Linked DNA regions of Drosophila melanogaster. The protein of the gene in region 2 interacts with the protein of the main gene of each other region in a pairwise test. Each region holds a gene or a part of one and is shown on either strand. Other genes may lie near its edges. The genes, in order: CG6770, spidey, Pmi and CG12730.

Region 1 (5,978 bases), on a different chromosome or scaffold from region 2:
GTGCTAATGGCGGGTTTTTGGGTATCTAGAACATCCATCCGTAGTGGCTCGTTGAAAGGTGCTAATCCGCGGGCCGCGTGCATCATCGTTATTGGGCCAGTGCTCCAGTTTCGATTTAACGGTTCATCCAAGCCACCAAGTGCCGCGGCAATTAGCACCATCCATATCACCAATGTAGCCAGTACTACGATCCCATCCCATCCGATGCTAACTTCCATTCTCCATTCAGTTATGCATAATTCCCGATTTTGTTGTTCGCCACAAATTCGTTTTTTTTTTTCGCGGTGAAAGTGTGCAATATGATTCTCTTTCCAGAAGATGGACTATGGAATTTAGGAAATCGTAATTGGAATGGCTTTGTGCCGTTGGAGCACAAAGATCCACGCCTGTGGAGTGGCCGCCATCGAGGTCCGTCGTCGGTCGTGTGCCAGGCGAAGATCACGATCTAGGAAGCTGCATACATGCCCATATTTAGACACAAATCGTGGCAAGCGTGCGACTTTCATTAATGGGGTTGAAAAGAAATCTATTTCTACAATTAAGATACGTTAAGTCAACATCAATGGGGTGTTTGTACATTGGTGAGATCGCCTTAACGATTCGAAATTTGAAGACAACACCATTTTAAAAATGCTAATACACAGTTTTTTTTGGGAAATTGGTATACTACACAAAGTAACCAAAAAGAAAGGATATCGTATTAGAATATTGTATACACATATGAGCTTATCATAGTTTATTATATAGATACATATAGGTAGCCACCTATTAAAACTCATATCTTAGAAAAGAAAGCGATGTTAACAATTTTATTCTTTAATGCGAATTGAAATGAAATGAAAATTGCTCATGTTATGAAGTTAGTATTTAATCTTAAGAGCGCAACTAGAAAAGTGCAATCACGAAGTACATATGTACATATGTACATATGTATACATATGTATGTATGTATATTCGATGTACTATCTTACCTTCAAATCTTACATACACATAAATATGAATGTATGTATGTATGTAAATATGTATAGACCTCAACTTCTATCGATTTCTAGACTTTACTGAACTATTAATGCGTCATATGTTTACCGGCGAAACGCAGCGTGGCAAACTAGTTTCGTTACCCCCAAAATTGTTTACTCGTTTTTTAGACCTCTTGCTTGTTTTCCTCTAAAAAGCTCGATTGTAAATTTTATTTGTTGATATTGCTTTGTTTGAAACCGCGGCGATAATGTTTATCTATCGATTTTGTTTTACTTTTGTAATGCGAGTTTAACGAATCTTTAATTTAGAAATACATTTAATAAAAATAAAAAACCGATTCTAAGGCACTTTTAACACGCAATATATTGCAATGTTTAATTTTATAAAAAAACAGGTTTTTCATCACCTTCTATTTGTTTGAAGTTTGGAACACCACATTTTTAGATAGATCAATGATTCAGACGAAATGCTATTTAATGAAGATAAGGAATATTTATGACTAACCAAAATGCGAATTTAAACATACATAAGAGTCTTGGAATTTTAATTGTCAATATGTTCGAACAATTTCATTAATATGCATTATAGCAAAACCACCTGATCGAGAGTCTGTTTTATTGTTTACCAAATATCAACAACGCAATTCAAAAAGCCGGCAAATGGCGTTTATAGAGAGAGAGAGAGCGAGAGAGAGGAGAGAATTCCATTAGAGTGGACCTTTCTGGAAAAGTTTGTTCGGTTTATTTTTGTACGTGTGCTTGTTTGTTTGTGAGTGGAAAATAACATAGCTTTTGTAATTTTGGACACCTAATGTAAAAATATCGTTTAGTATTGAAAGTCAATAAAAGCGGCGCAATATTCATAAATGCAACCTTACACGCAAATTTAAACCGGAAGAAATGATGCAGGAATATGTGTGTGCAAGTTTAATTACCTGTGTAACTGGTGAACTTTCAATGGAAGGTCTCGGGAATATTTCCGTTTGCAAACTAACATACATACATTACATACACAAATAAATATGTTCATACATGTTCTCTTTTTGGTCGATCGCTGTAAACAAAGAAAAAAGTCGACTGCAACTGCTTTTGCGATAATCGAGGAGCTGAGTGCAAATGAGTTCAACTAAAAGGCTATAAATATGCACAACAGCACACCAACGGCATTCAAAAAGCTCTCTCGCTTGGAAAGGTGCGCTGCAAATGCAAATGAAAATAAGACGACCAGGCTATTCAGTTTTGGTTTTCTCTTTATTTTATATGTATTACCTAAGTCAAACTTCATTATTTGAAACGCTCTAAGGCTTAGCAACTAAAACTTGCAAGTCTGAATTAGTTTAGGAATATATTAGAAGCTAAGAGTAGTATGTGCCTTTCTTTTTTTGTGTTTGTGAAATTATAAGCGAAATAAAATTATTATAATGTTCACAAAGTTTAGCGCCGCATGAAAAGCCAATGCACAATACAAATGCAATGTGTATTTCCAGCTGGCTTTTGTTTTTCTTTCTTTCCTTCCAGCAAAACTGCTGCTTGTTCTTCTTTTTCTTCTCTCCTTTGCTTTTGCTTTCCTTTTAAATTCGAAGATTTCTTTTCTCCTTTCAGCGCGGCCCCGTTACTTCTTTCTCTCCTGTTCCACCGCCTCCGTCGATGCCCTGCATCAGTTCTTGCAGGCGGCGGCTTTCTTGTTGTTGTTGTTGGTGTTCATCAGCTTGGTCAGAATCTTGCGGGAATGACCGGAGGGATCGAAGTGGTTGGTGTGCTCATTGGCCTCCCTCTTGTTGCGCTGCTTGCCGCTGTGTCCAGAGAAGATGTGCTTGTCATGGTCGAAGTTGTAGTGCTCGTACTCATCGAAGTGGGCCTCGGACATAATGGCGATTTAAGGTTGCAAAACTAACTGCGTTCTTGGTTGGTGTCTGCTTTTTGTTTCTCTGCAAACTTGCAGGCTGCTTTCCAAATTTCTCTTCTGCTTTTTTTTGTTCACTTTTCGCTGAGCTGCGAACGGAATTGAATTTTTTCGGTCGAGCAGCGGCTTTTATAGGCGCGCAAGCTTTCTGTTCCGTAACCAAAGCTCTCTCTCCGTCAGAGTTGCCGGATTTAGCTAAAGAAACTACTAGAAGGGCATTTAATTGTTGCTTACGTGTAGTTACTAAAAATATTTAATTTTTCTATAACTTTCTACTGAACTTTTACAAAATATATTTGCTCTTTTTTATGTAAAAGAATTTTTAGTTATTAAAATTCATAGTTATTGGGCCTGACAACCCTTTTGCGCTCAAGAGAGTGCCTCCTTGACAATTTTTGCTGCGCAATTTAATTTTTTGCTGTTTACAAAGTGCGCGGTAAACAAAAAAACTGAAATCGCCAAACATATTATTTCGCCTTGTTCATTTATTTTAATAATTTAAGAACTTTTAAGCATACACACGTTCCTGAGTGGTTACATAACACACACCCACCTTGGCCCTCCGCAAACGACCATCAAAGTGCATTTACCCTGCATTTGTTTCTCCACCCAATAAATATAGAATTAAATGCATCATATGTTCTGGATACACTGCTCAAAATTTGTTTATTTTTTTACACTCAACAATATTTGAATGTTAGGGCACAAGAAACAATTTAGCAATAATTATAATTCGAATAACATTTTTGATTTACAAAAGATATACTCATAATGGATATTTATTTTGGTGCATTAGAACCTGATCGGTTGACCCACTTCCCTCCCACCAGGCAACGCATTTGTTTATTTCTGAATAGCGAAAAGCTTTCAGTTTGTTTTGGTTTAATGGATTTTATATAAACAAATGTTACGTACATACATATATACATAGCCTTCTGGCGTTGATAAGGTGCTAACTATCGCTCTAGTTAGTCATTTGGCAGGTATTCGTTCTGAAAGTTCGTCTTCAAACGACGCAATAGATCGTAGTCACCATCTTAGATAAGATAGAACGGCCTCAACAATGTTGTTTCAAGAACCTGCCACAATATACCACTTTATTTACAATTCGTTGGTAGCAAATCAATCTTTAGATTTCTCGATGGTTCTTTTTTAATGGCTTTAAAAAGAAACTGGGTTTCCGTGAATATTCTAGATACAATTTTGTTGTACTAGAACTCAGAACGAGAGATCCCACGTCTCATTTTGTAAATATAGCAAATGTTCTAAACTTGCTGATACAGTCTCTTTTCAACATAGTTATTCTAAATATTTACTATTGACCTTTGCCTCACAAATCTCTTTCTCTGAGAAGTTATGAATGGGGTAACCTTCCGTTTTATTCCTATTCTACAGTCTCCTTGGGCAGTAGTGTTTTCAGTCGCTTGTCAGGATTAACATTCCTTATAGTCTTGCTCTTAACACTCTTTGGCTTCTTCTTGGGTGACGTTTCGATCACGGGAAGCTCAAAGTCATCGGGAAAGCTACTGTCCACCGTTTCCGAGAGCTCCAACTGCACCGGTTTCTCTGTGTGAACCCGCTGCACGTGCTCCTTCATTTTGTCGGAGCGATGACTGCTGAATCCACACAGCTGGCACTTGTAGCGGTTCGGACCATTCTCCGTGTGCTTGAGGGCGTGACGCTTGAGGTTTTTGCTCTGGCTGAACTTGCAGCCACAGACCTCGCAGATAAAATCGCGACCCTGTTTGTGAGTTTCAATGTGCAATTTGAGGTTCTCCTTGCGATTGGCTCGATGCTTGCAGCCTGAAACTGTGCACGCAAAGAATTCTCCGGTGTGAAGCAGTTTGTGCGACTTGAGGGCCTTCATGTGCGTGGTGCTATAGCCGCAGACGTCGCAGAGCATTTGCTTCTCGGGATTGTGGACCAGGATGTGATTGCTCAGGCCCTGCTTCCACTTGAAGCCCTTGCCGCAATGTGGACATATGTGCGGCGTTTCCGTGGAATGCTTAGGCTGATGGACGAGCAGGGCAGCTCGTGTGTTGAAGCGGATGCCGCACTGTAAGCAAAAGAAGGGCTTACGCAGATCACCAGAGTGCCGTCGTAGGTGAGTGTCGTATTCCCGCCAGTCCAGAAAGCCGACTTCGCACAGCGAGCAAATCAAATGGGAGGGCTCACAGCTGCCCATGTGCTCGATCATTTTCTGTACCTGATAGCACTTGAAGTCGCAGCCAATGCAGTAGTTCACTTTGCTGCTGGACTTTACAGCTCGCGGGTTCTTAAGCTTTAAGGAAAAGGCGAATATAAGTTACGGCAGTGGCTCAATGACATATTATCCACCTTGAAGTAACTTTGTCGATTCTCAAACACAGCCTCCGCTTTCTTTTCTGGATCTGGATTTGGTTGCGCCTCTCCAGGTGCTGGGATCTCCGTTGCTTCCTTCGCCTCGCCCAAGGGCTGCAACTGGTAGAGATTCAGTAGTTCTGTCACAGCCAAAATTTGCGCTAGCTCCCTAAAATGCAGTTCGTGCTCCTTGGACACGGACACCAAATCCTCGTAGAAGAAGTCCACAATTGTGTGCAGGCATTGGGTGCAGCTGAAATTACGGATGGTGATCTTCAGCGGATTGTGAATGGAGAACTGCTGTTGCTTCTGGTTAGAGTTTATAAACTGGCTCTGAGCAGCCAGTACGCAGAAATGGACGCTTAAGCTGAGGGAATCATCCGAATCCAGTTCGAGGAGCAGGTCACAGAATTGTCCGGTTCTTCGCTGATTGTTTAGATAGTTCGATACCTTGGAGTGTAGCGGCTGGTGCAGAGTGGGTATGGATTGCATTGTCTGTGAGTGCAGCATTTCTGCAGCTTAGATAATGCTACTAGCACTCGATATAAACAAAATAATCAAATGTTTTGCTTTAGGACGGCTAAACAGCTGTTCAACAGTGTGACCAATATGCGCTACGGTGTATTAAAATACTGACTAGTATTTTTCGACCGTTACTTTAAAAATGGGAATTTAAAAGACAGTTCTTAAATATTTGTTTAAAAAACTTAATTAATTATTTAATTATTATGTAGTCAGCACATACACACATTTAC
Region 2 (8,169 bases):
CTTGCGCAGGAACTCCATCTCCTTCTCCTCGTCGGCGAGGTACGAGTTTGTACTAAAAACTGGCGGCGTGTTGGTTTCAGCTCTAAAAAGAGGAATACATATATTTATTATAGATCTGAATCGTTGAACAATGGAATGCAAAGTAATCGCAGCTGTTGCCTTTCTGCTTATTGATTACCAATTTAATGATTTGGGATTGATGGCCATTCTCTGAGGCATATAAATTACATTTAATTCTGTTCACTGCATTTTTTCACGCAAAGATAAACAACAACTTATTGTGGCCCAAAGCATTAGAGAGTAAAGGTATTAAACAAAGAGTCGAATTGCACATTGTATCTTTTATATCCAATCACAATCATCCTCTATGCATTTCTTTGTTTGAGCGCAATCAAAAAAATGTATTGGATTAATCCGATATCTTTGCTATACATTACTTATCTGGAAAGGTTTTTGACCTACTCTGTTCATTACTAATATATATCTATTTATTTAAAAAGTTTAATTTTGTGGATACTAAGCCAGGTTAAAGTGAAGTACTTACGCTCTGGCCTCAGCGATGCGAATCTTCTCCAGATGCACTGTCACCCGGTTGACCATGTCCACGGCTATGATCTTGGCGGCGTCCATTCTGAGGGCGCGCTCATGGATCTTCTGTATCGCGTTCCACAGATCTTCGCGCACCACATCGTTGATCAGCTTGGGCTTGGTGACCACGTAGCCCAACCAGGGCAGCATAAAATCGCGCAGCACATATTCAATGATCTGCTGGAGCTGCAGGTCCACTGTTTTGCCGAAAATCAGGGGCAAATTCGATGGATTCTTGATGGGCTTGGGTAGATCGAAGATGTTGCTTCTGCGGGTCAATGGAGATAGAGATATATACATATATATCATATAGAACAAAGTCCGCTACTCACTTGGTGGCATTGTAGAGCAATCGCGAGGGCACGCGACTTGGTGGCGTCGGCTCGTTGGTGGTGAATATATAATGGATATAGACGGTTCCCGCCACAGCTGTCGGCGAGATAAGGGCAATTAGATATTTGGCATTTTTAATTAGGCGCTCGTTCGGAACTGATTGCGCCCGATATGGTGACTCATTTGCCATCATTCCATTAGAAAACGCCCTGGAACGAAAGCGGAAGACTTACCCGCAAAAACCAAGACCAGGGAATAGACCACAAAGGCGAAGAACAGAAAGAAGGTGGGATAATACCAGATGACGGCCAGCAATGTAAGCGTGATGCCCGAAACAATAATCCTCCAATTTAATTGCAATGCACGTAGTAGTCTGTAAGGGATTTCAGGGCTAGTCTGTATCCAATATATGTATTTGATTGGACATTATTTGTATGGACTTACCGGGTGGCAAGGAGCGTTAGGCGTTGCGTTGCCGTTACGGATGGCTCCGGTTCGATGGGAAACAGTGGCAAACGGCGATTCTCCATGGCGTCCACAGCGTGCTCCTCTGATTCCATCGGCCGATTGACTTCGATTCGGGACTTCCGAATCACTGCCTCCTCACCTTATTGCCTACTTCTTCTGAATATTTGATGAGTTTTGTACATTTTCGACCCGCTGACCATTAAAAATAGTTCTCAACAATTGCGTCAATTCCGCTTTGGTCTGGTGTCCACCACCTCCTCCTTCTTCTACTGCTCCGTTGTCGACGACCTCTCCTTCTTCTTCTTAACCTCCACCGCCGCCTCCACCGCCTCGCCCGTCAACGAATGAGAAACGAATACAAATATGGTATCGCACAGTATTGTATCGGCTTTTGGAGAAGCGTCCGTCGTATATTGAAATATATGGGCAGAGAGACAGCTGGCTGGGAATCGAAATCGGAACCACAACTGTCGGCAATATGCGCCAAATCAATACTGGGCGACGCTGCGGATCCGCAACAAGTTGATTGGTTTGACCAGCTTTATCCGGAGCGGAGTTTTGATTTCATTTCGTTTCGAATCGTCTCGTCTCGTTTCGTGTTGATTCGTTTCCGAGGAAAGGAAATCAAAACAAGCGACTCTGATTACTGATTACACGCTCCTTCGATTCAGCTTGATGTGTTGTTGTTATTGTTGTTGCTGTCGCTGCTGCTGCGCAGTTGGGATTGGGCTGGCCCTGATAACACGTCACGTCATGAATCCGATTCATTACATTTCACGCCCGGCTATACACTATCTTTACTGTTATGTTTATGAATTTTGCCCTTTGCTTTGCTTCTTCGCCCTGCGCGAAGTGTTGTATCTCTTTCTGTCATTCCCATCTCGCCGATTAGCCGAAGGGCGCGCCTATCGATGACCAATCGATAGCTATTGCCGTTATCGACACATCCAATTCAAATTCAAATTGGATCCGAAAAACATGAAAAATCATAGGGAAAAAGAAAAATCGCTAGCAAGAACAAATAAGAAGTTAAATACAAAATAAAGGACTGCAAATAAAAGGCGTTATTTATCATTGGAAACTAGATATATACATATATCTAGTAACACATTTTTTATTGTTTACATGACATGGCTGTTTGCGAATCTTCAATGCTAATTAATGACAAAAACTAACTAAACTTAGTTTATTTCGGAAAAATGTTTTTTTTTTTGGTATTTCAAGCTATCTGTTTGTGGATTCGTATGACACGCGGTAATTACGTAAGCTATTTGACTAGCCGGATTTTCCCCACAACCCAACTGACCCACTCATCATCCCAACCGATTCCCATTAAATGCCTCCTCCGCCGTATTCATCCTCAATAATCTACTGTTCCTTGGCCAGGCGGCGCAGGGCACGTTTCCGGGTGCCCAGGATGTTCTTCATAACGATGTTGCGTGCGAACTGTTCGCCGAACACCGCCTCCGTGAAGTGGATGACCAGCTGGAGTAGAGCATGCGGCAGATAGCCCGCCGTCTGGGTGGCAATGCCCAGGGTGGACAGCGCCGAGCGGACATACGTTTCCGGCGAGGGAGCAAACACGCTAGCCTTTCGGATCTTAGACATATTTGTGGCCACAAAGCCCGGCTGGACGCTCTGGATGAGGATGCCGTGCTCCTTGTACTCCGTCTGCAGGTCATCACTGAATTTGTTCACAAAGGCCTGCAAATTATAGGTATTAGTAATTAGCCTTCTATCACTTCTGATGATATCCACTCACCTTGGTGGAACTGTACACGCTCAGCAGCGGATTAGGAATGACTCCGGCGGTGGACGATACATTTATGATCACACCACGTCGCTGGCTAATCATGCCGGGTAGAAAAAGTGCGGTCATGTGCGTCACCGAGTGGATATTGGCAGCCACAATGTTGCGCAGGAATGGGGGATCGGCTTTGTAGCAGTCCAGAAAGTACTCGGGATGGCCGTAGCTGATGCCCACGTTGTTGACCAGCACTCCGACATTGAGGCCAGTGGTCTTTTCGCGGATCTTATCGTAGATCTCGTCACCGCCGGTGAAGTCCACATCGATCACACGCACCTCCACACCGTATTTATCGCCTGAAAGTAGACCGCAAAGAGCAGTTGTTAGTTGAAGTTGTTAACTGTATTTTAGTGAGCAGACTTACCTATCTCCTTGGCCACCACATTCAGTTTCTCCAGGGATCTACTAATCAGCACCAGTTTCAAGCCCCTGCGAGCCAACTGAAAGTGATTAAATATTTATTAGCCTGCTCATATTTACGTACTTTTGGATAGTAAATTCTTAGGTCAGAGATAAAAAGCAATGGTGCTTTGGAATGGGAACACTGAACGTTTCTACCTAAAGCAGGAGTTTCAAAGACGAGTAACCCGTAGATTTTAAGAACAGGAAGTCATTTAAGTGTACTAAGCGTGTATATGAATAGAAATTGGGTGTGAACATTGAACCATTTTCTGTGCGTTCGACGCACGCCGAATGCTAATTTGGCACAAGCTTCGATCGGGGCCCTGTGCTCCACTCTATAAAGTAATTGCCATTCAGGGGACACGTGTTCCCTATAGCTTCTAGCTTCGTTTGCTCCAAGTCTGTGTATTACAAAATAAAACTGGCAAAAAAAAAAAAAAATTACCACAAAAGGTAGAAAAATCAACTGCGATTGCACTTTGTAAAAATAAATAACGAAAAGTACAAATGTAGCGATTTGCAGTCAAGCAAACACTATTAGGGACTGTTTGCGACTGGACTGTTGACTGAAGATCGATTTCAAAGTGCAGATTCACTTGGCTAATGCATTGGCGACCGCTAAACCAATGTCCAAGTCATCGTGGGCGACACTCAATTCGGTAATTAGTAATTACTAATTGCTCATTATTACTATCGTTTTTTGTTTGTTTGTTTGCTTGACCCGTTTCCCATTTTACTATAATCATCGGTCGAGCTTGGACGGACTTTGCTTGCGCTGGTCAAGATTGGGGCAGCCCTTCCATGTCATCTTTGTGTACATACCTCCTTGGCGTAGGCCTTGCCAATTCCATCGGTCGACCCGGTGACAACTGAAAGTCGAAAAAGTTAGCCAATAGTTCTGTGGGTTATCAGTGGATTTATGGGGCGTGGGGAACGATCTTATCGGTCACAGTGAAAAAAGTACTGAACTCCATTTTGGAAAGATATATAGTGTATTCCTTTAGGCAGTTAATGCAAAATTGGAAAACTTGAAAGTAGAGTGTTTGCAATTTGGAAATTCCCTTTCTTCACAATTTAATTGTAAAAGGGTCTTTAATCTTTTTAACTACACTTCTTTAGCAAACTTGCTATTCATTTTTTCACTGTGCACTCGGAATCGACCCCGTTTCCGCTCCTTTCCGGCATGTTTTTCCATGGCAACCGACTCACCTGCCCACTCGCCCATTTTGGAGAGATCCACCGAGGAGCCAAAGACCTTGGGGCCAACAACATTGGCGTAAATCCAGGGCAGGACCTTCCGGAAGACCTGGAAGCCCACGATTCCGATGGCCAGACCGCCCAGCAGGCTCAGCACTTGCGAGTTGTTCTCCTCCATGATGTTGATGATGGAGATTAGTGGTTCCTGGTTCCTGGTACTCCTAGGCAATGGTACCTATTGTATGTACTATATGGTGCGATTGCGATCGGTCGACTGCTATAGCCTCTGCCGGCTGATTAGTTTCTGATTCTACGATTTTCGAGCTGCAATGCCGAAATGGAAATGCTGACGCCGCTGCTTTTTTTTCGCCTCTGCCGACTGCGCTGCCTTTTCGAACTGTATTTGTGGTGTGTTGTAGTAATTCTACACACACACACACCCTTCGAAATCGCCACTGATTTTCGATTACTCGATTTATGTACGCGTGTTTTTTGCCTGATTTGTATTCCAAATGCGTTTTCTTTGAAAGGAGAAACTTAGGGTAGAAGGGGGAAAATAAAAACAAATGGAAAAAGCGATTGAATGTCAATTGTCAACGGCACAAAAGCAAATGAACGGTTCTTTTTCGTATCCATGTGCCCCCCTCAGAGGGGTGTGTGTCTGTGTTGTGTGCCCACTTATGTCATTTCATAGCGCTCACGCACACCACCAAAAAGCGAAAGATAAGGGCGGCTGCAAACAGTGAGCGCAAAAATTTATCACACCAAGAACCGTTATGTTGCACTAGCTGATTTTAAAAGAGGGATGAAATGTAAATTCAGCAATAGTTTTCCGCCTAAGGGTTCACAGGTTCATTACCGTATATCCTTCTTTTACTAGTCTATTAATTAGTTTATTTAAAAGCGAAAAAAGCATGCATATGTATATCATAGGAGGGCAGTGTAAGTTCTATGCTCTCACCAATACACGCCAGAATGGGGCAATCACCGAAATAGTCTGACTAATTTCCTGCACATGCGCAGGAAGCAGAAAGTGCGATAAACAATTTAACGCAGCGAATGCTACAATTAAAGTCGTTAAATATTTTTGATGTTTCTGAGTAAAGCCCGCTATATTAACGGTAAATTATTGATGGAGCGAGATGGCTATAGCGGATCGCGTATGTGCGAGGGTAATCCTTTGCCTATCGATAAATATCGGTTACTTATCGAATTTCGAATTTGAAGCTTAATTTGACAGTAAAAGAATGGTAGTTTATCTGTATTTTTACTCTAGGCTCTTAACAATTAGTAAAATACAGGTATTTCTGAGCTCAATCGCCCGATTTATTTGCATGCCGAGCTATACGGATTCAAAGGACCTTGTTTGGTGGGTAGAAATCCCTGGATTGCAAGAATGCCGAGAGAGATGCTGGCCTTTCGGAGCGGATTCAGTGCCGAAGCAAGTGTGGGTGAGGGAACAACAACGCCGAAGGACCGGCAAAAGCAACTTTTATATTGTTAAATATTTATCAGAACCATCCGCCGAAAAGAGCTTTTTTCCTGGACAAATGCAAACAAAAGAAGAAAAGAAAAGTCTTTTTCTTTTTAAAACAATCTTGAAGATTGCATTATTTTGAGCTTGAGAGGTGAGTGGCGTCTGCTATTTGTTGTTGTTGCTCGGGTAGAGGGATTCCTTCGGATGAAATAATAGGGATGCGGATGCTGGCCATGCGCAGAGCATGCCCTGACCTACATTCCCGTTTATTGGCCATCCGAGCAGCAGTTGCAAAAGGATAAATACACACGCAACACGAGCTGGTTAATAAGCGCTTTTCCGATTTTCCAATTGTCCGACATTCCTATCCCTCCAGCCTCCATCCGCGCGCTGAAAAGTGTGCAAAGAAATCAACAAAAAAGAGAAAAAGAAAAAGTAAATATACATATATAATCGAAAAGGACACTCTGAAAAAGAAGATACTTGAGTGCAATATGTCCAGCAATATTTTGCCGCAGGGCAATCGATAAGCGAAGCGAAGTGAAGTCCGTGGAATCATCGCTGGCGATGCAGTGGGACGCTGATGCAGTTGGACTTGGATCGATATAGAACAGTTTAGAGGGGCGTTCGTTCATATGTGCATATCCTGCGGCGAGTGGCGCCAGTCGATGCATCATCCCGCATCCTGTTACCGTATCCCGTAAGTCGGCATATGAAGACACTCCGCTGCAGTGATGAGATCGAGGCTGTTTTGGATACTGGCGATTATATACTCCTCACTCCATCACATCGGCTCGGGTTCCACGTCGACCACATGTGAGTCTCCACCTCATGCCTTAATCACATTGCAAACTTTTACCCAACTCAAACTTTGGCACTTTTAAGCTGAAGATTAAGTTCTTTTGTTTACTTTGCGGATTACCCAAGTGAAAAATGATTATTTTTTTTTATGTAAAACAATTATTTTACTACTTAGTGTGCAAGCATTATTCGAAACGAAATTATTGTTTTATTTGAGTTTTTCTTTTATACGTGATTTTAGCTGAGTGCATTTTATTTTTATATATTATATGATTTTCATATATATTTTAACTATATCTATTGAAATTGTTTTTTTTCGAACTAGTGAAACGACCGCGAGCTGGCGATCCATTCGACACGTTTCCGAAGAACTTCTGGCAGGAGTTCTCATCGCCGTTCACCGACACGCCCGAGGATGAGGAGCTGGAGGTCACCGAGACGACCACCCACGAGCCGTTCCCGTTCTTCGCCGATCCGTACACCACGCTGAACATCAGCACCCAGCTCTCGTCCAGCGTTTATCTGCACTGCCGGGTGAACGATCTGCAGGGCAAGACGGTGTCCTGGATGCGTCGCCGTGGCGATGATCTCACCCTGATAACCTTTGGCCAGCACACATATAGCGGCGACTCGCGGTATTCGCTGGAGTTCGAGGAGCCCAACGATTGGAAGCTGCTCATCCAGTTCGCCAACGAGCGGGACGAGGGTCCCTACGAGTGCCAGGTGTCCTCGCATCCGCCGCTCGTCCTGCTCGTTTACCTTACTATAATTGGTGAGCAACTGCTGTCGGCTTGCCAAGCAAAACCTGCTGATCCATGCTGATCTCATTCGTTGTCCATCCGCAGTTCCTCACGTGGAGATACTCGACGAGCGGGGCTCGGCCACGCCGGAGAAGTACTACAAGGCTGGCAGCACCATCGAGCTGCAGTGCGTCATTTCGAAGATTCCGCATCCCTCCTCCTATATCACCTGGCGGCACGGACCGCGCCTGCTCAACTACGATACTAGTCGCGGAGGAATCAGGTAGGATTTGTCGTATATGGTCTTAATAATCGTAAGTTAATTACCATGCATTTGATATCATTTGCAGTGTCAA
Region 3 (9,901 bases), on a different chromosome or scaffold from region 2:
TAAGCTTTTCATGCGCAATTCAATCAAAAAGCAATCAAAATGTATCAAAATGTATCAAAATCCAATTAACCCTTTTGATCAAAAATGGATTTGCAATTGTGTGCTGGCTTTGAAAAACCAAACATGATTAGCCTGAAACCTTTTCGAAAATCAATCAACGCGGAGAATAAAGGAGCCTGTGGAATAACAATTACCAAATAAGCCACGATTGCACCGCCTGTTGCATTATTGGCCTGTTCAGTTGGCCACACAAAAGCCACGCAAGCCACAACGAGCTCCTAATAAACATGTTGAAACTTGTGGAAGAGCGGGAGAGTGAGAGAGAGAGAGACAGGGGTAGCTGGCGGACGAAAGAGATGGCAAGCGGGATCCAACGGGCGCATTGCCCAATGACATTTTGAAATCGCATTTCCGGGGGGAGCGGGGGGAAAACCGACAAAACGAAAATTGAAAAGCCGACAAAAGGAAAAAAAAAGCTAAACAAAAAATAAGCAAAATCGAATGCAAATTTTGGACCAAAATCGAATCAATTAAATGGCACAGAGTTCGCAACATTCGAACCCAAGAGATATGTATGTATATATGTACATATGTATGTACATATGCAAATGGGTCGAAGTCATGGGAAAACGGATTTCGATCTCGATTATCTGGCTGGGGGATTCAAAGTGCGCAGACAAAGGGCCATAAAACAATCAAATCCATCCGCAGCTCGGATCACAAATTGTGTGCAAATATTGATATAAATCCATGTTTGCACTTTGTTTATCTGCAAAAGTCAAACAGTGGCATTGTTTCGGTCGCTTTCCACATACTTTTCTTTGCTTTCCACGCTCTTTATTGTTATGCAATGAATGATGCTCGGATGCTCAAACAGTGAAACTCTTTCTGGTACTGGCTAATTACGAACATACAGACATACATACATACATATATTTCTTTTTGACCCGCTTTCAGTAAACAGTTTTGAACTTGAACCAATTCGCCTGGTTTCTTTTTCAGTCTTTTTGCCATCCATACATGTTTTATATGCGACCATAATGGCATTTGGTGGTCGCTTTATGGTTCCCCTAACAACAAAGAAGTGAATAAATTATAAGTTTTTTTTTTTATTTCGTCGCTTTCGCAGCTCTGTTTTAACAAAAACGCGTCTCATACGCGAGTTTTAATTAGCAAATATTTGCAAATTACAACGATCCGTGATCCGGTGGCGTTCGCCTTGAGATCACTGGGACCTTGAACCAATTTCAATGGGAAGACCACTAATAAATCTCATTGATAAATACATATATGCAGAATTATTAAACAATAAGTTTCGTCGTTTGCCTAGTGAGTTTTTTTGTTTTGATTAAAGCAAAGGCTTCAAACTTGATATTCGTCACTTTTTATAAAGAAGTTGGAGCCTAACTTGGTTGTAGATTCAGTATATTGAAGCTTTCTATGTAAGTCAAGATGAAAAGTTGTTCTTATTTAATTTAATTATATATTTTACAAGTATGTAAGTAAGTAAATTCAATCTCTTTAAGAACATATACATATATATAGTATAAATATTAATCATACAATGTGGATTTGAGAAAAAACCCGACTAATCCGTGGACTTCTTATCATTCTTTGTAGTGACCGCAGTCCATGCCAATCGCGTGACCACAGAGCAGAACCAACGAATCGCAGATCTTCCAGCGAAGAAGGAAAGCAGAATATGGTGCAGGATCAGGGGGAGACGACAGGCCTGCCAGAGGCGCTGCTGAAGATCGCCAAGCGGGAGCTGCGCGAGGATCGATGCACGCGGGAGCAGTCGCTGGAGCAGCTGCGCAACTGGGTGGCCAAGAACGAGGATCTGCAGAATGTGCGATGCGACGATACCTTCCTGCTGCGCTTCCTGCGCGCCAAGAAGTTCAGTGTGCCGATGGCCGAGCAGACGCTGCTCAAGTACCTGAACATCAGGAGGACGTTCCCGCACATGAGCACCCAGCTGGACTATCTGGAGCCGCGTCTCGGCGACCTCATCGATCAGGGATACATATTTGCGGTGCCACAGCGTGACAAGCACGGTCGCCGCGTGGTGGTCATCAATGCCAAGGGGCTAAATCCGAAGATCCACACAAGCTGCGACCAGGCCAAGGCGCACTTCCTCACCTACGAGTGCTTGATGGAGGATCAGGAAACACAGATCACTGGGCTAACGCATGTGGGCGACTTCGCCGGCGTGACCACGGCGCATGTGACCAACTGGAATCCCACGGAGTTTGCCCGCATCTTCAAGTGGGGTGAGCAATCGCTGCCCATGCGTCACAAGGAGATCCACCTGATCAATGTACCATCCACACTCAAGTGGCTTATTGATTTCGTGAAGAACCGCGTCAGTTCCAAGATGAAGAACCGCCTGATCATCTACGGCAGCGAGAAGGAGCTGATGAAGAGCGTGGACCAGGGCTGTCTGCCGCTGGAAATGGGTGGCAAGGTGCCCATGCGCGAGATGATCGAGCTGTGGAAGCAGGAGCTGGCGACCAAGCGCGACCTGATTCTCGGTCTGGACAAGAGCATACTGCGCTCCGATCGCGGCATCCAGCGGCGCAGCAGCTTCAATGCCGGAAAGGCCTCCACCGGCGGACCCAACTTCGTTTCACAAATCGAGTCCATCGAGGGTAGCTTTCGGAAACTGGAGTTCGACTAACCGATCGCCAGTTGTAGTTTAAGTTTATAGTCCTTAGTCTTAGGCAACATCCAATCAATTAACCCAATGCGCAACGCTTCGCCGGTCCCCCGATCCTGGCCAGCGCCCGATCCTGGGGATCCCTGATTCGCTTATCGGTGGCAACCGCTTTACTCATCCTGCGCTTCTTTGTATACTGTGTTTGTGTTTGGCGTACAATAAACGAGAGGAATAATTTGGAATCATCTCTTTGTTGCTTCACTTGGACGTTTGGTGGCTCGCGTAGTGCGGCCAGTGCCTCAGTTCCCGCTGCAGTGCGTCCGTATAGCTGCCCAACACGAAGAGTTGGTAAATTGGCTGCAGAATCCGACGCTTTAAAGACTCAAGGATCAGAGCCTGGGCGGCCATCAACTGGCAATCGATGGGTGGTCTGCCGCTGAAGTTACCCACAAAGGCCATCACCAACGAGTCTATTCCATTTAGATCCCTTGGATACTGGCTCCGATAGTGCCATCCTTGTGCCTCGAAAACCTGACAATCACCGGCGACCAGAAAGTTGTAGGGCAGCTCCCCCACATGCGACCTCTAAGGAGATGAATGAATTTAGCTTTGATTACAATGTACTACACATACTTATGTCCGATTAACTCACTTCCAGCTTATGCAATACATCCGGGCAATCATCGTGGCATTCATTGCTTCCAGTGTGGGTAAAAATCACTGTGCCGACACCGATCGGATCGAAAAGAGTTCCCCGACCCTGAAGTTCCATATCCGACCATATGCCATGACCCACGATACTGAGTCGATAGCCAAAGTCCGGCGTTTGGGCTGCAAGCAGTGCAAAGTGATTCAGTCATTAAGTGGCTTTGTCCACCTATAAAGGCGAATTTAGAAAAATTTAACAATGAGTCATATGCATGCATACGAAAAATAAAACGAATCTTAAGTTAAACAAAAAAAAAAAATGAGGGATGGCTTTAAAATGTTTTACTATACAAATTTAATGCCAGATACATTATATTATGAGTATAGATCGATTTTTCTTTGAATACTTTCGCCTGCCCATCAAAACGCACATGAGCAGCTTATCATAACTCACAGCTAATTGAGATTTATTTATTATGCATATATGTAACAATAACGATTTGAGCACGTACTCGTGCACGTCCACCATCAGCGGGCAAACTCACTTTGTCTCCAGAGCAAATAGGCGGCCAGTGCCAAGGCGGATGCACACATGACCAGCAGTCCCACCGAGCGCCAATTGAAGCAGTCTTCGTGGAGCGTCGGGTTCCTTCGGCAATTCGAAGGCGTCGTGGAGGAGGCTGAGACTGAGGCTGTGAGGGATGAGGACGTCTTGATGGACCGCTGAGCAGCTGCCAGCAAGGGAGTGGATTCGCTTGCAACGCCTTCCTTGTCCACTCGAATGTGTATATCTTGGCTGGAACCCAGGCTGCCGTACGACGACTGAGAGACGGCGGCCGGCGAGGGACTACGACGTGCTATCGTAGCGAAATATAGAGCAAACAACAAATTATGGAGTTTAGCCAAGATAAAGGCGACCAGATGATTAGTCAAGTGGCACAGTTTGTCCAGGCCACTCTGATCTTGGTGGGCATAGTATTTGCTGATGGCACGCAGACTGTAGGCGCTCACAAAGATCGGCATCTTGCCACTAACTGAGCTGGGATATCCAGCCGAGATGCACGCATTCGTATATCTCACCCATTTAACTATATCTTATCAAGACAAGGGCTTATCTATCGTCGGACTTACCCACTCGCACGGCTATGTGGCTGGAGTCCATGGCTAGACCGCTCTGGCTGCAGCCTCGGCATCAAGGTGGTGCTGTGAGTGGGTCAGCTCCTTACCGGATCGCACTGGAACACACCACTCGATCGATCGGAGTCGCCGCTGTCAACCACTGCCAGCAGAATGCACAAAACGACTGAGACGAGAACAAGGGAGAGAACCAGCCCGCATGAAGCACAACATTTCCATTAAATCATCAGCTACGAATTTCGAAGGGGTCTCTTATCGCACTCACTCTTAGACTCTCTTAGCTATGGAGTAACTTTAAAGCCGGGAGTAACATTCGCATCGCGTTTACTTGACTTTCGTTTGCTGATATCTTCAACTAGACTCTAATAACAATCATAAATGGGTTTCGCTTTATACACAGAGGTTGGCTTTGCTTAATTTACAGTGCAGAGGCTGCTCCTCCCTTAAGACTAACTTGGGCTTGGGGACCGTAATAAGTTATGAGCATGCTAGCCAGTGCAAGTGGCAGCCACGGGAACACTGGACATGGACACTGGTTTATGGGAACATTTAAAAGTTTCACGAAAGACAATACATTGTGTTAAAATCGTTCGAAAATCTAAAAGAAATGCATTCGCCTATGTGCCTAAACTTAACTTATTAGGTATTACGCGTCCGCGAGACAGGGGACAGGCCTAATCCAGCACCTGGACATTTCAGAGCTCCTGCAAATCCCTTACTTGTAGGACCTCCAAATCTGCCAGGCGCACAGGGCAGCCGAGAGCAAGGATACGCTACGGTGCAAGTATTTGGTTTTTGAGTTGGGCGAGTAGCCCAAAATCACAGGCGAGGAGACATCTGTCAGTGGCAGTTTCTCCAACACGGTGTCATTATTTTCCACCTGAAAAACACAACCAAAGTGAGCTTCTCAATCTTGGATATCTAGAACTTTTCCTTTCATACCTGATATTGACAACATGGATCGTAGTTCCAGGAAACCGTGTACAGTCCTGTGCAAAAAATCGAGAGTGCACAAGCGGGAGCTGCAATGATGGGGCGATCCCGCCACAGCAAGCTGGCCACCAGGGAAACCACTCCAGTGGCCACCGCCGTCTTGTGCAGGCAATTGCCCACCCAAATCCAACGACCTGTGGAGATATGAAATTAATACTGTGCTTTAAAAGGAAGCACTTCCAAGTGCTTACCAGTTTCGTCGCCCAGCCGAGGCGGCTCTATAACGATGAAGTCCAACTTGGCTTCCAGCGCCTTGTCCAGCTCAGCCTCGAATCTTTCATGGGCATTGGAGCTGTCGTAGACCTCGCGGATGACATGGAAAGTGGGCACCTTACTCGTGCTGCACAATTAGAACAACAATACACGAATCAATCATGGTTATCTTGATGTGGAACTCAAGGTTAAGGTCAAGATCAAGCGCTCAGAACAACCGAAGCAGAGAAGCCATTGTGCAGACGAGATAAATGAAGAAGCCGCCTAGTAAATTGCATAACCAGGGCAGGTGCACTTGGGAACTGGGATTTGGCTGCACCCAGGTGGAATGTGTTGCGTAATCCCACTGCATTCACGTAACTAGGCGCCGTATTTACCTTTCTATATTTCTGCTAACCATTTTGCTAATAAATTTGTTGTTTTCTATGTTGTTCATAAACTCAGTGCGGCCGCAGCTGGACCGTTAAAATATACCAGGTACCTAAGGGCATAATACTGCAAATAGCAATCTTCCAAAAAAATACCGCAGTTGGGCGGCACTTTTGAATTATATCGTATTCGCAAATACCATTCTCCTTTAAAGAGCGGCCTATATATAAAGGCTTAATTCCACTATTTAGCAATTTATTTGCTTATTTACCTATATTCATAAAGACAATTAGATTAGATTAAAGTTTTTAAAAATATTTCAGTATTTCTATTGTTCTTCCAACTACTCAACTCTCCCATCTCTATTTACGATAATTGAGGCATTTAAGAGGCAAATCATGTAAAATCTGTATACGATTATAGGAGCTTAACTTAATTGAAATCAATAATTATACTCCCAATAAAGATCAAAAATATAAGATACATGTGTTAAATGAATTAGCCGGCTCTTATTGTCCCAAGCGAAGAAGCCAGGATTTCGCCGGCTGTCCGATATGGTCACACTCGCCCACTCATAAGAAAAGACACCCAAAATTGAAAATGGAAAAGCATCATCGCCTGCCCCTCCCGGAATTGCACGACGACAAACACAGACACAAACAGTGCAATGGGGAGAACAGCAATCGCTTCCGGCCGCCCAAGTACAAGACGCGTGGCTACGTCGCCGTGGACAACAACAATCTGAACCGAAGCCAATCGCTGGGCTCCTGTAGCACCAACAGTTCCCAGATCGCGCACGCGATCTCCTTCCGGGACGCCGGATGTTCGGATTCCAGTACGCTGCCCTCGTCACCAGTCCAGGCCGAGCTGAGCACCCTCTCCCTGTCACACTTCGAGCAGTGCTTCGAAAGGCTGGCCAAACTGGGCGAAGGATCCTTCGGCGAGGTATTCCAGGTGCGCGATCGCTCCGACGGCCAGTTATATGCCGTCAAGATCTCCAAGCAACTGTTCCGCGGCGAACAGTACCGCGCAGAGCGGCTGGAAGAGGTGCGGCGCTACGAGGAGTTCTCCGGCCATGAGAACTGCATCCGGTTCATCCGCGCCTGGGAGCAGTACGACCGACTGTACATGCAAATGGAGCTGTGCCGCGAAAGTCTGGAGCAGTACTTGCTGCGCTGCCAAAGGATACCGGAGGAGCGCATCTGGCACATCCTGCTGGATCTGCTGCGGGGTCTCAAGTCGCTGCACGACCGGAATCTCATCCATCTGGACATTAAACTGGACAACGTTCTGATCGGCGAGGACGACGAGACGTGCAAGCTGGCAGACTTTGGACTGGTCATCGATGTGGACAGGGCCAACAGCCATCACGCCACGGAGGGAGATTCGAGGTATATGGCTCCAGAGATCCTGCAGGGTCACTTCTCCAAGGCTGCGGACATCTTCAGTCTGGGCATTGCCATGCTAGAGCTGGCATGCTACATGGATCTTCCTTCCAACGGCCCACTGTGGCACGAACTGAGGCACGGCATTCTGCCCGAGGAGTTCATAAACAGTGAGTTGCGAACTAGCTGCCTACTTAAATGGCAGGTTGCTAAAGCCTTTCTCTTCGCACAGAAATATCACTGGAGCTGCAGTCGGTAATTAAGTCCATGATGAAGCCCGATCCTGCGCAGAGGCCGACGGCCGAGCAGCTACTCTCACATCCCAAGCTGCAGTACCTGCAAAAGAAGCGCAAGTCGCTGATGAACTTCAGCATGCTGGTAAGCATTCCCAAGCACATCTTTGAGAATCAATCTTAACCCTTGACAACTTGCAGTCGCGTAGTTTTAGGCGATCTCGCCGCGCCGTTTGGGGAAGAATGTGCAATTGGAAAACAGCCGCCTTTCGTTACCTTCTATACTTCCTGGAGGTCCTGCATCTATGCAAGCCCATAACGGCCTCACAGCCCAATATTAACATAGTGCCCTCCTCGCCTTCGTCAAAGGGAGTGCCTCTGGTGCCTCAGGTGGAGTTCCAGCTGGTAGGATCCACACCCATTGCCAATCGTGACTGCTATGCCTCCGACTTCCTTTCCGGCGAGGACCCGCTGGACCTCTCCAATCAGGGTAGCCCCAACGTAATAAATTCCACGCCATTGAACACAAACCAAGGCAAATCCCGTCTGGATTTGCTAAAGAATAAGTAAGTACCCTTAATCGATTAGCTCATGGACTAGCGCACATAACCCATCCGCTTTCAGTGTTGATTCAATGGGCAGGTACGTTCATGTACACGATTTCGAGAGTCCGTGTTCCGCCCTATCTTCCGCCAAGGTCCTGGACACCTCATCGTTCCGACGCAAAAAGCTCTTCGTCCTGGAATATGACGACGAGTGAGTGAGTACGGTGCCAGCGAGCAACGTAAACCGAATGAATTTATGATAAACCCAATATATATCAGTTACGAAACGAATACCAGATACATATGGCAACAGAATATATCGTTAATTGTATTTTGATTAGTTCTAGACCGTAGTGTTGTACGAAGTTCCCTAGATATAGTCTTACGATTGTGTAATGTTAATGCTTCTTTAGAAGAACTTGTTGAACTTGAACATATAATCATGTGATATATATACGAAAAGCGATTTGAAAAGTTTAAAAATAAAAAACTTATTGAAATTGAAACCTGCACTGAATGCCATCTATGACATATGATAACAACAAATTAAAGGTAAAAACCAAGAAACGTATAACTATAAAAATTTTTTTTAAAACATTTTTGAATTCTAACGTACCTTTCGTTTCGGGGAAAAGTATTTTGCCCATCTGGTAACACTGGCCGCTCGCACATGTTGAAAACGTAAACAAAAACGAGTAGCACAATTTTTGAAAATGACCAGGAAAAAGGCTCCTAAGAAAAAAACAGAGGTTGTATTCGACAACAAGAAACGCATGTAAGTAAGGAGACACAGAATCCCCGGAGGATACTAATGCCCACATCCCAATCCCGCAGAGAGTTTCTCAGTGGCTTCCGGAAAAGAAAGAATGAGCGACGATCGCGTGCAAAGGCGGATCTGGAAAGAAACCTTAAGAACGAGCGCAAGCGCATACGGCAGGAGGTAAAGGATGGCTTTAACCACCTGAAGAAATCCTTCGAACCGCTGCGCGAGCTCACCGAGGAGGACAAGGCCGAGGAGGCGGAGCAGCAGCAGGAGGAGACCTACGAAGATGATGAAGTGCAGGTGAAGATCGTGGAGCTGACCACCAACGATCTGGCCGCCAAGCGCAATATGTTGGGTGCCAACACGGCAGAGGAAAGCGAACCGGAGGAGCAGGCTGACCAGAGCGAGGAGGACGAAGCCGACCAGGCCAATAGGATACCCGGCATGGATTTCGATCCCAACGCCCGCAAACGTAAACCCAAGCCGGAGGACGAAGAGGAGCCGAAGGCCACAAAGTCCAACAACTCCACGCTGCCGGACATCAAGAGCAAAAAGGATCTCGACCGCCTGATGAAGACCAAAACGCTGAAGAAAATGCACCAGAGCAAACTGTTCAAGCAGAAGGAGCGCCTGGACAAGAAGAACAACCAGAAGAAGGCCAAGCGGGACCGCAACAACACCATCAAGAGCGTTCCCAAGCATCAGCGCAAGCAGCTCAAGTACGGAAAGGCCAACCAGACCAAATACCGAAAGGGTCGGATGGTCAACAAAAAGGAGCTGCGGCGCAAACGGAATGCCGACTAAATTTAGCTTTTAGCATAGTTTGTTTTACGGTTTATTTACTATTACTCTAGTTAATCAAATAAACTGTATAATTCCTGGCTTGTACAATAATTTTGCTAACACGCCGATGCGTTCGATCTTTTTTTTTACCGCTCTCCGTCGTATTCATCATGGTA
Region 4 (7,473 bases), 2.4 Mb from region 2:
TTTGGCTTTTTGACTACGTGGTCATTGGTCTACGTGCCAATCCAATTTCCTCGGCACATTGACTGTGGCTTTTCCTTGGCACGCTTTCAATTCGAATTTGCCGACATCGAAATGCAAAAAAACAAAAAAAAAATCAGAAAAAAATATAGAGGAAAACAATTGGGGTGCCAGCGACTCGGGACCCCTGCACCTGTAACTGGCTTTTCCGTAATGGCAGACAACTTTTCAGAGCAGCGCCAGCAGAGCGAAGCGTTTACATAAGTGGCAAGTACGGAGTCGTAAATCGTGGCAAATCGAGTTCGGTGTTCCTCTGTTTCCCTGGACCACCTGGCCAAGTGAATTGATCAAAAATCACGCGAAGGAAATTGCTTTAAAATGTGCAGCGGCAGCTGAATTCAGCGAAGAGCAGATACTGAAAATGAAGTGGAAAAATCGCAGGGAGCTTGTGAAAAGTGTGTACAATTCGGGGGAAACGGGCCAATGAAATGCCAATTAAATTGATTTGAGACTCAACCAATTTTTTTTTTCTTTTCCATATACTCGTAGGAGGTCATTAATGAGGTCTATAGGAAAATGTATTTTCGTTGATTGATTGACGGATTGATTGGCAATTCATTAGCATAAATTACCCGCAGAAACCGAACTTAAAGTGAAAGTACCACCAGCGAAAGCTTAATGCCCTTCGAATCTAGTTATGCTTCGGGCTTTAAATAATATTTTCATTTCAAGTAAATTCGTTTACAACATCATTGAAAGCTGTCGAAGAACAGCAGCTCCATGCACCACAACTGAGATGACAGTAAGCTCGCGAATATGAGATGAGCCTCCAGACAAAGAGATACAGATAGCAAATAAAGGATATTTAAAGAATGGCGGCAAGGACATCCTGTTGCACTTGGCCCATTTGATTGATGACGTTGGCACTTGAGTGCACACGATAATCATTTATAAGGCGCATAAATGTTCTGTTCCCCGGGGGGGAAAAAGCTGGAAAATCCGAGGGGGGAAATGGGGGTGGTTGTCAGCTGGCGGATAAAAAGCGCCCAAAGTCGAAGGGAATATCAGATTCAAATTCACTTGGCAGATATGCTGAGGTCGTTGCTATTTTTGGGGTATTTCGGGATTCGAAATTAGGGGGGGTGGTCTTGGTCTTGTCACGTCAGCTGCAGAGTCTGACAGCCACTGCACGAAATTTGCATTCAAATCGAGCCGTGTATCTGGGCAACTTAGTATCTGTATCTGACAGATACCCAGCTGGCACACTTCTTTGTCGAGGTTGAGAAATGGCTACGGCCCAACTTGCCGCTTTCTTTCGAACTTCCTTCAAAGTGCCTGAAACTAATTATCTGCCTGCTCGCAAACGTTTACTCCAACTTTCGTTTAATTGGTCATAGTTATCGCCAAGTTTGTCATTATTAAAGATGCTTCTGATGCATCTGAAACTGGATTTTTTCAGCCAGAACACTGCTTAATAGCTCACATGTCGCTTTGCCTTTGGTCCTGCTCCACGTTATCCCGTCGCCAAAGCAAACAAAATCTTGCTGATGCAGCAGCTGGCAATTACAGCGAATGCTTTTCTAATTAGATGCACCCACATTTTCCAATTCCCCCCGGCCCCGCCCCCCTCTCTCTCCGCTGCTCTACAACATGGGTGGAAAAGCGATGGAAATTGCCTGAGTGCGTAAGCGAAAAACCAGCCATGTGCATGAATCGTAGGCGAGATATATCACTAAACAATGCACTCTCAGCAACGTGCCACTGAGTATAAGTTGGATATTTAGTTAAAAACTATTTAGATGCTTTTGCTGTTATTCAGTGGTTTAAAGCGCACATTTATAAAGTCCTCTGTGCACTTATCGAATTCAAAGTCCTAAAGAAATCAAAGAAATGTCCATAGGTAATCATAGCTTTTTGCCATTGAGACTCGCACGCCCTCAAGTGTAAATCCGCTCTCCAGTCAATTTTCTTCGCTTTTCCGCCGCACATTTTCCCCGCTTGTCCAGACGATTCGATGCTTATCGATGAGCGCAAATCTCGTGCCTCCCATATTTATGTATATATATATGTTTATACATATATATGCATGAGCTTTTAGAAATCATGTAGACATTAGTTGCCCTGCAGTCGTCTGACTGTTTGTTACCCTCGAAATGGAAACTGCACTTTATCGCTTAAATTGCTCAAGTGCAGTTCATTTATGATTTTCGTGCTCATTTCCGCTTGTTGTGGCCGATTTCCGTCGCATAGATATCTCACTCAGCATTTTCCGCTCTGCATTAGAATATGTGAATCTGTGAAACTGTGAATGTCTCTGAATCTCAGTCAGTCGAGGCGATTGTGCAAGTGACCTTGGCCAGGAGGCGGGGGCCACCCATGCGGCCATTTCGTAAACGAGCCACCTCTCATGAATATGAGTCAATTAATATAACTCAATTTGATGTCGGGCCAGAGTGTTTCGACTGCTACCCTATACAAGTATCTATGCATTTTCAAGAACTTTAACAATTGAATGTGGAAAATAGTACATGAGTAGCGAGAAATCAAAATTAAATGAATGAAAAAATTGTATCTGTAATATCTTTGTAGCTTTGTATCATAAAATTTTTTTCTTTTGTATGGAGTAGTGTGTTCAAAGTTCGTCAAACTTATCTGGCCACCAAATGGTTTGTGTATATTCACGTATTCCGTATGATATGTGCTGGGCAGCTTGTGTTTTGCAATGTGAATCACGACGAAATTGCATTTGATTTTGGGAGGCTCGCATTTGCATTCGCATTCGGATTTGTGCAGCGATTTATCCGTTAAGTAACTAAATCAATTAGCCTGCTGTGCCGATTAAAATAACGAGAAGCGTTTCGGTCATAGCCGATAACAAATACGATTCGAATGGCACAATCTAATGATGCTGGGCATTAAGATACAGATGGAAATTCGAATGCACAGTGGTCCAAAAAGGGCCCAACCTCAAACTGCATGTCACAAGCAATGCCAGTCATAAAAGCTCGGCACTTCACACGACTAAAAAAGCTTTGCTCACCCAGTAACCGGTCACCTTGCCTTATGAATATACATATATTTAATATATCCCTGGAGGTCAGTGAGTCACACCGTGTTAGATTCACCCCTTGACATCCCCCGAACGAAAATTAGTATAATGTAACGAAGAAGCATTCACAATGAACAGACCCCCAAAACTACAGTTAGTAAGACAAGTTAATATGGTTTATTCATTTATTGGAAATTACAGCTTTCTTAAACTAATAATCCTATTTTTTATAAATACCCAGCTAAAGCTAATCTCCTTAATATTTATAGTTTCATTAGATACCATTTGAGTAGATAACACAATTTGTACACAATATGTACTACATTTCCTGATCGTTTCGTCCCACTGTGCCATGTGTTGCTCGCTCTCTGTCTCTCTCTCTCTCTCTCTCTCTCTCTCTCTCTTTCGCCCGCTGCTTCTCTCGCTCTCGCAATTGTAGTTTTATTCGCCGAGTGTAACGATGGGAGAATTCTGAGTATTTGTGTTGTTTGTATTACTTCAGTGGCATTCTGTGCGTGCTGGCGAGCGCAATATGAATTAGTCAGCGGCGCTTCGCTACATTTGCTACATTGGCTTTAATCGCTCGTTTCTGAGGCATCTATTCGGCTGGACAATCTGGATTAACTGCATCCAAAACGTATATATCTTGTATTGGCCGCGATGTCGTTGACGGGAACCCAGGACTACGATCGCAAATACCTGCTCAGCATGCCGGGCCTGTGCAAGCTGGCCTGTTTGGTAATTAGCCTTACACATATGTGCCATTGTGTATCGCCCTTAATGTGTGCGCTTGTATGTGTGCGTCTTTCAGCTGTGCAGCTTTGTTGGAATATTGTGCATCATCTGCGGACCGGTGCGCGTGAGCAATTTCCGCGGCAGTTTCTACCTGGCCGTAGTCACCATCGGATTCGTGGCCACCGGCTGCCTGCTCCTGGCCAGGTATCTCCGGTTGTGGCAGCGCCAGTTCTGCCGATGCGATCCCACGCTCTGGTCCCTGGCGGTGCACTCCTCATTGGCCCTGGCCTACTTCACGGCCTCCGGACTCGTACTCTCCCTGGATATTGGAGCCTATACGGCGGCGGCGGTAAGTGGCGTTCTCGCAGTTAGGATAAGTTCGGAAACCAAAAGTATTACGGCTCATTGTTTCGGCTAATGATTAAGCTAGGAAAGATACTGGTAAACGAAACACTGAGCCTCCAGTTGGAGCCGATTCATTCCCTCGCTGTGATGAACTCTCTGTAGATCCGTCTAATACACCCTATTCTTCACCTTTTTTTTTACAGTTCTTTGGCCTGACAGCATTTTGCATCAACGGACTGGAGGCCTATGGAAACTATCGGCGCAGTCGCCAGCGGGAGGTGGCCACCCAAACGATATAGACTTGGTTTCAGGTGCACGAACCCAGCTTTTGGTGGCTCTTACTACGTTAGGCTTACTCTGTGTGTGTATCTGTGTGAGAGCGAGTATCTGTGTGCGAACGAGTATCTGTGTGAGTGCCAGTGCGTGCGCGTGTGTGTGAGTTTGTTTTGAGAGAGCGAGTATCGCTTGCGTTTGCTTGAAGCATTTAAGTCTGAAGTTTGAAATTGTGGCAAGCTTTTGTCGCGGGAACAGTTACCGTATGTGTTATCTAATAGTCGCTAGATATAGGTCAAGAAGTGAAGAAGATAAAGCCAGTCGATCGCAGCAATAACGTAGATATAATAGCGAACAGAAAGCGAGAGAAAACCACTAACAAGAGAGCAAATTCCAAAGAGATAAGTTGTATTGTGCCTTCTGGCTCTGCTTCTTCCCTTCTTCTGATAACTGGTTAACAATGCGTGAATATATATGTACATATATATACCCGATTTTTTTTTTACTTTTATTAAGTACATAGTATTTGTGTGTCTCAAGTGAATATACATTGAAGTAGTTAGTTTTTAGCACAATGCTTTTCATGACCACTGAATTGTTGTATTTATAAACAAATAAATCGTTTGCAATGGAAGAATAAAACAAAAATACATAAATGTAATTTGTAAATGAAGGGTGTTTTTTAATGATGAGAGTTCATATGCGTAAATTGGGCTTGAATGTCAATTGTTGATCGTGCATATTGTTATTGATTCATTTACGCAAAAGGCCACTTTCCCGAGGCTATTGTTTATTTATTTTACTACACGAACTACTTTTGCGACCATGTTTGCTTGCACAACAAGCTATTTTCACCTAACATTGCCGGATAGAATTTTTGCAACCGGCGCTCCATGAAAAAGATATCGCCAACCTTTGTTTACCTTATCCGCATTGAAACTGAAAATAAACAGGTACACTATGGTGCCCCCCTGTCTGATTTTGCTTCTTGTTTCGTTTTCGTTTTGGTTTCGGTGCTCTGTAAGCTGTTGCCATTGTTGGCTTTTCAAATCTTTTGAACCACCCACAAACGCAACAACCATCATCACCCAACAAGCAGCACCCAACGCCCACAAAAAAGCACTTGGCTCGTCTATTGTTTGTGTTGTTTTTGGGGGCTCCCGCCTCATTATTATTACTTTTGTTGCCAGTTTGATGAAGTTTTCGCCTCGATTCTTGTCTATTTCTGGCACGATTTATTCATAGTTAGTTGTTCGCCAAGCATAAGCAAATTTTCAGCCAAGTACGCTTAACAACGTAATGAAGAGCGCAATATATTCATGTGTTTTATGCCGAAAAGCGCTGGCGTAAAAAAAAAAAAGAAAAACAAAATAAATGTATAGAAATGTAGCCGCATTGCAGACATAATATGGGTTTCGCATTGCTTTACACGTGCAGTAGGCAACCCTGTAAAGTGCTGCAAGTTGCCATGACCACTCATGACCTTGTGCACTTATCGCCTATGTGTACAGAGAAAAACCATGTCCTTTAAAGGGTAATTTCCATTTCCATACAAGCTTCATTTAATTGATATATTTATGTGGTCTTGACTCTGCTCGTAAGTAGATAATTTTTTGCGGTGCTTCCTAGCCCTCTTAGCCAAATGATCATTTAATTATTTCTTCGTCGGCAGCTCTTAGCACTTCCCATACCCTAATGTGCCATAATTTCTGCTCCACCATCGACGCTCTCGGCCATGCAAGTCACGTAAAGTGAAATTAATTAGTCTTGTTTGCCAGTTAGTCGGCCTCCTTTCGGGTTGGCAAGACGAGAAAGTGGAAATGCGGAAAAGCCAGGCAAGGGGTCAATCCTTGAGTGATTGAAATGCAATCGTGTGGACCGAGTTCATATTGAGTTTGTGGAAATGTCATGGGTCCGCACTTCCTGCCAGCAAATGATTTATGCGGCCTGCAATTTGAAAGTTGGCTGGCTTAAAATATTTTCTTTTTTCGCTCATAGAATCGTGGTTAGCAGTTCAATTGGAAAATGTGACATGCCAACGCTAACGGTAAGCTGTTTCATAATTCGCTTCTGGCCTAATTAGCTGCTAATATTATCTGAGATAAAACATCAATGGATGGAAAGTGAATGGAGTCCGGCATAAAGGGCGTAATAACCACAGGGTCTGGCTCAGATGATAACTGTTGCCCAAATTACAAATTGTAATTGAGTGGAATGGGTTGCGTTGTTGTGAGGGAGCACCGTTCTTAATTAATGAAATCATTCCCGAATCAAACGCGCATTTAATCAAAGTCAAGTCGCCGTTCCTTGTGCAATTTATCTGGCTTGGTCCTGCACTTGGCAAAATTTACGTGGCCAAAAGAGCCTAATTCGCGGCAAAAGTAAGCCTAGTTCCCTAATAATACGATGTATTTCACAGTTCTTGGGTTACATTTCACACTTCAGCACTCAAATGTCTGGTCACAATCCCTGAACTATAATCAATGTTAAGCGATTTAAATACTAGTGTATACTACGGTTGGAACAAATAGGCATTTTTTTTTTTTAAGAGGATACTTTTTAATTTGTTACGCTTCTCTTTGAACCGTTTTGTGGCATTGCCGTCCCAGCCAATCCATTCCATTCAGGCCAAACACTGCGGCTGTGGCCAAATGACGCGCTGAAATGCGGGCCTAGCATCCGCCCTCACCCCCTTGACCCGCTTTTGGCCCACTTTCGAACCTCCTTTTGGCCGCCCGCCTTTACCACAGCTATGCAAACGCTTTGGGATGCTAATGCGGCCAAAATAAATGATGGCATGAAGGCATCTTTGGTCGTTTTCTTGCCGCCTTCATCTTTCATCGGCTGTTGCTTTATTCTGTTTTTGTATTCTGCTCTTCGCTTTTGGCATTACTTTTAATTTTCAGCGTCCGCATTTCATTTCTGGAAGCCGGTAATTGTCGTCCTTGCCTTTAAAACACCCGATACCTCAATTTGTTGACATTTTCGCAATTTGTATAATTATTTAAAGCCATTTAAAAAATTGACAATCGATTGGATCGATTCCTTGCTGTAAGAGCAAGGAAGCCATTAGA

What was found.
Region 1: the proteins of spidey (region 2) and CG6770 interact in a two-hybrid assay, tested with the Drosophila melanogaster proteins (one large-scale study listed by BioGRID).
Region 3: the proteins of spidey (region 2) and Pmi interact in a two-hybrid assay, tested with the Drosophila melanogaster proteins (one large-scale study listed by BioGRID).
Region 4: the proteins of spidey (region 2) and CG12730 interact in a two-hybrid assay, tested with the Drosophila melanogaster proteins (one large-scale study listed by BioGRID).

The regions. Positions count from the first base shown.
Region 1 is NT_033779.5:12,043,129-12,049,106, forward strand, and holds CG6770 (uncharacterized protein), read right to left. Parts: upstream 2,991-5,978; 5' UTR 2,848-2,990; coding exon 2,638-2,847; 3' UTR 2,215-2,637; downstream 1-2,214. Other genes in the region: Plzf (promyelocytic leukemia zinc finger), read right to left, coding at 4,268-5,164, 5,221-5,733.
Region 2 is NC_004354.4:7,906,176-7,914,344, reverse strand, and holds spidey (spidey), read right to left. Parts: upstream 5,415-8,169; 5' UTR 4,974-5,414; coding exon 4,808-4,973; intron 4,468-4,807; coding exon 4,421-4,467; intron 3,637-4,420; coding exon 3,561-3,636; intron 3,493-3,560; coding exon 3,152-3,492; intron 3,094-3,151; coding exon 2,758-3,093; 3' UTR 2,460-2,757; downstream 1-2,459. Other genes in the region: snz (snazarus), read right to left, coding at 1-82, 545-856, 921-1,017, 1,155-1,294, 1,366-1,481; dpr14 (defective proboscis extension response 14), read left to right, coding at 7,007-7,088, 7,399-7,845, 7,919-8,096, 8,164-8,169.
Region 3 is NT_037436.4:5,776,257-5,786,157, reverse strand, and holds Pmi (Pmi), read right to left. Parts: upstream 6,108-9,901; 5' UTR 6,048-6,107; coding exon 6,025-6,047; exon of another isoform or gene 5,775-6,024; coding exon 5,626-5,774; intron 5,571-5,625; exon of another isoform or gene 5,569-5,570; coding exon 5,384-5,568; exon of another isoform or gene 5,322-5,383; coding exon 5,161-5,321; coding exon of another isoform or gene 5,157-5,160; exon of another isoform or gene 4,608-5,156; coding exon 4,577-4,607; 3' UTR 4,467-4,576; coding exon of another isoform or gene 4,436-4,466; exon of another isoform or gene 4,328-4,435; coding exon of another isoform or gene 3,850-4,327; intron 3,534-3,849; exon of another isoform or gene 3,488-3,533; coding exon of another isoform or gene 3,309-3,487; intron 3,242-3,308; coding exon of another isoform or gene 2,915-3,241; 3' UTR 2,678-2,914; coding exon of another isoform or gene 1,703-2,677; 3' UTR 1,473-1,702; downstream 1-1,472. Other genes in the region: Cralbp (cellular retinaldehyde binding protein), read left to right, coding at 1,703-2,677; PGRP-LD (peptidoglycan recognition protein LD), read right to left, coding at 2,915-3,241, 3,309-3,487, 3,850-4,327; Myt1, read left to right, coding at 6,617-7,571, 7,634-7,779, 7,836-8,200, 8,259-8,394; vito (viriato), read left to right, coding at 8,893-8,954, 9,014-9,746. UniProt on the Drosophila melanogaster protein: Plays a role in mitochondrial morphogenesis.
Region 4 is NC_004354.4:5,513,715-5,521,187, forward strand, and holds CG12730 (uncharacterized protein), read left to right. Parts: upstream 1-2,893; 5' UTR 2,894-3,706; coding exon 3,707-3,784; exon of another isoform or gene 3,785-3,786; intron 3,787-3,857; coding exon 3,858-4,130; intron 4,131-4,329; coding exon 4,330-4,425; 3' UTR 4,426-5,057; downstream 5,058-7,473.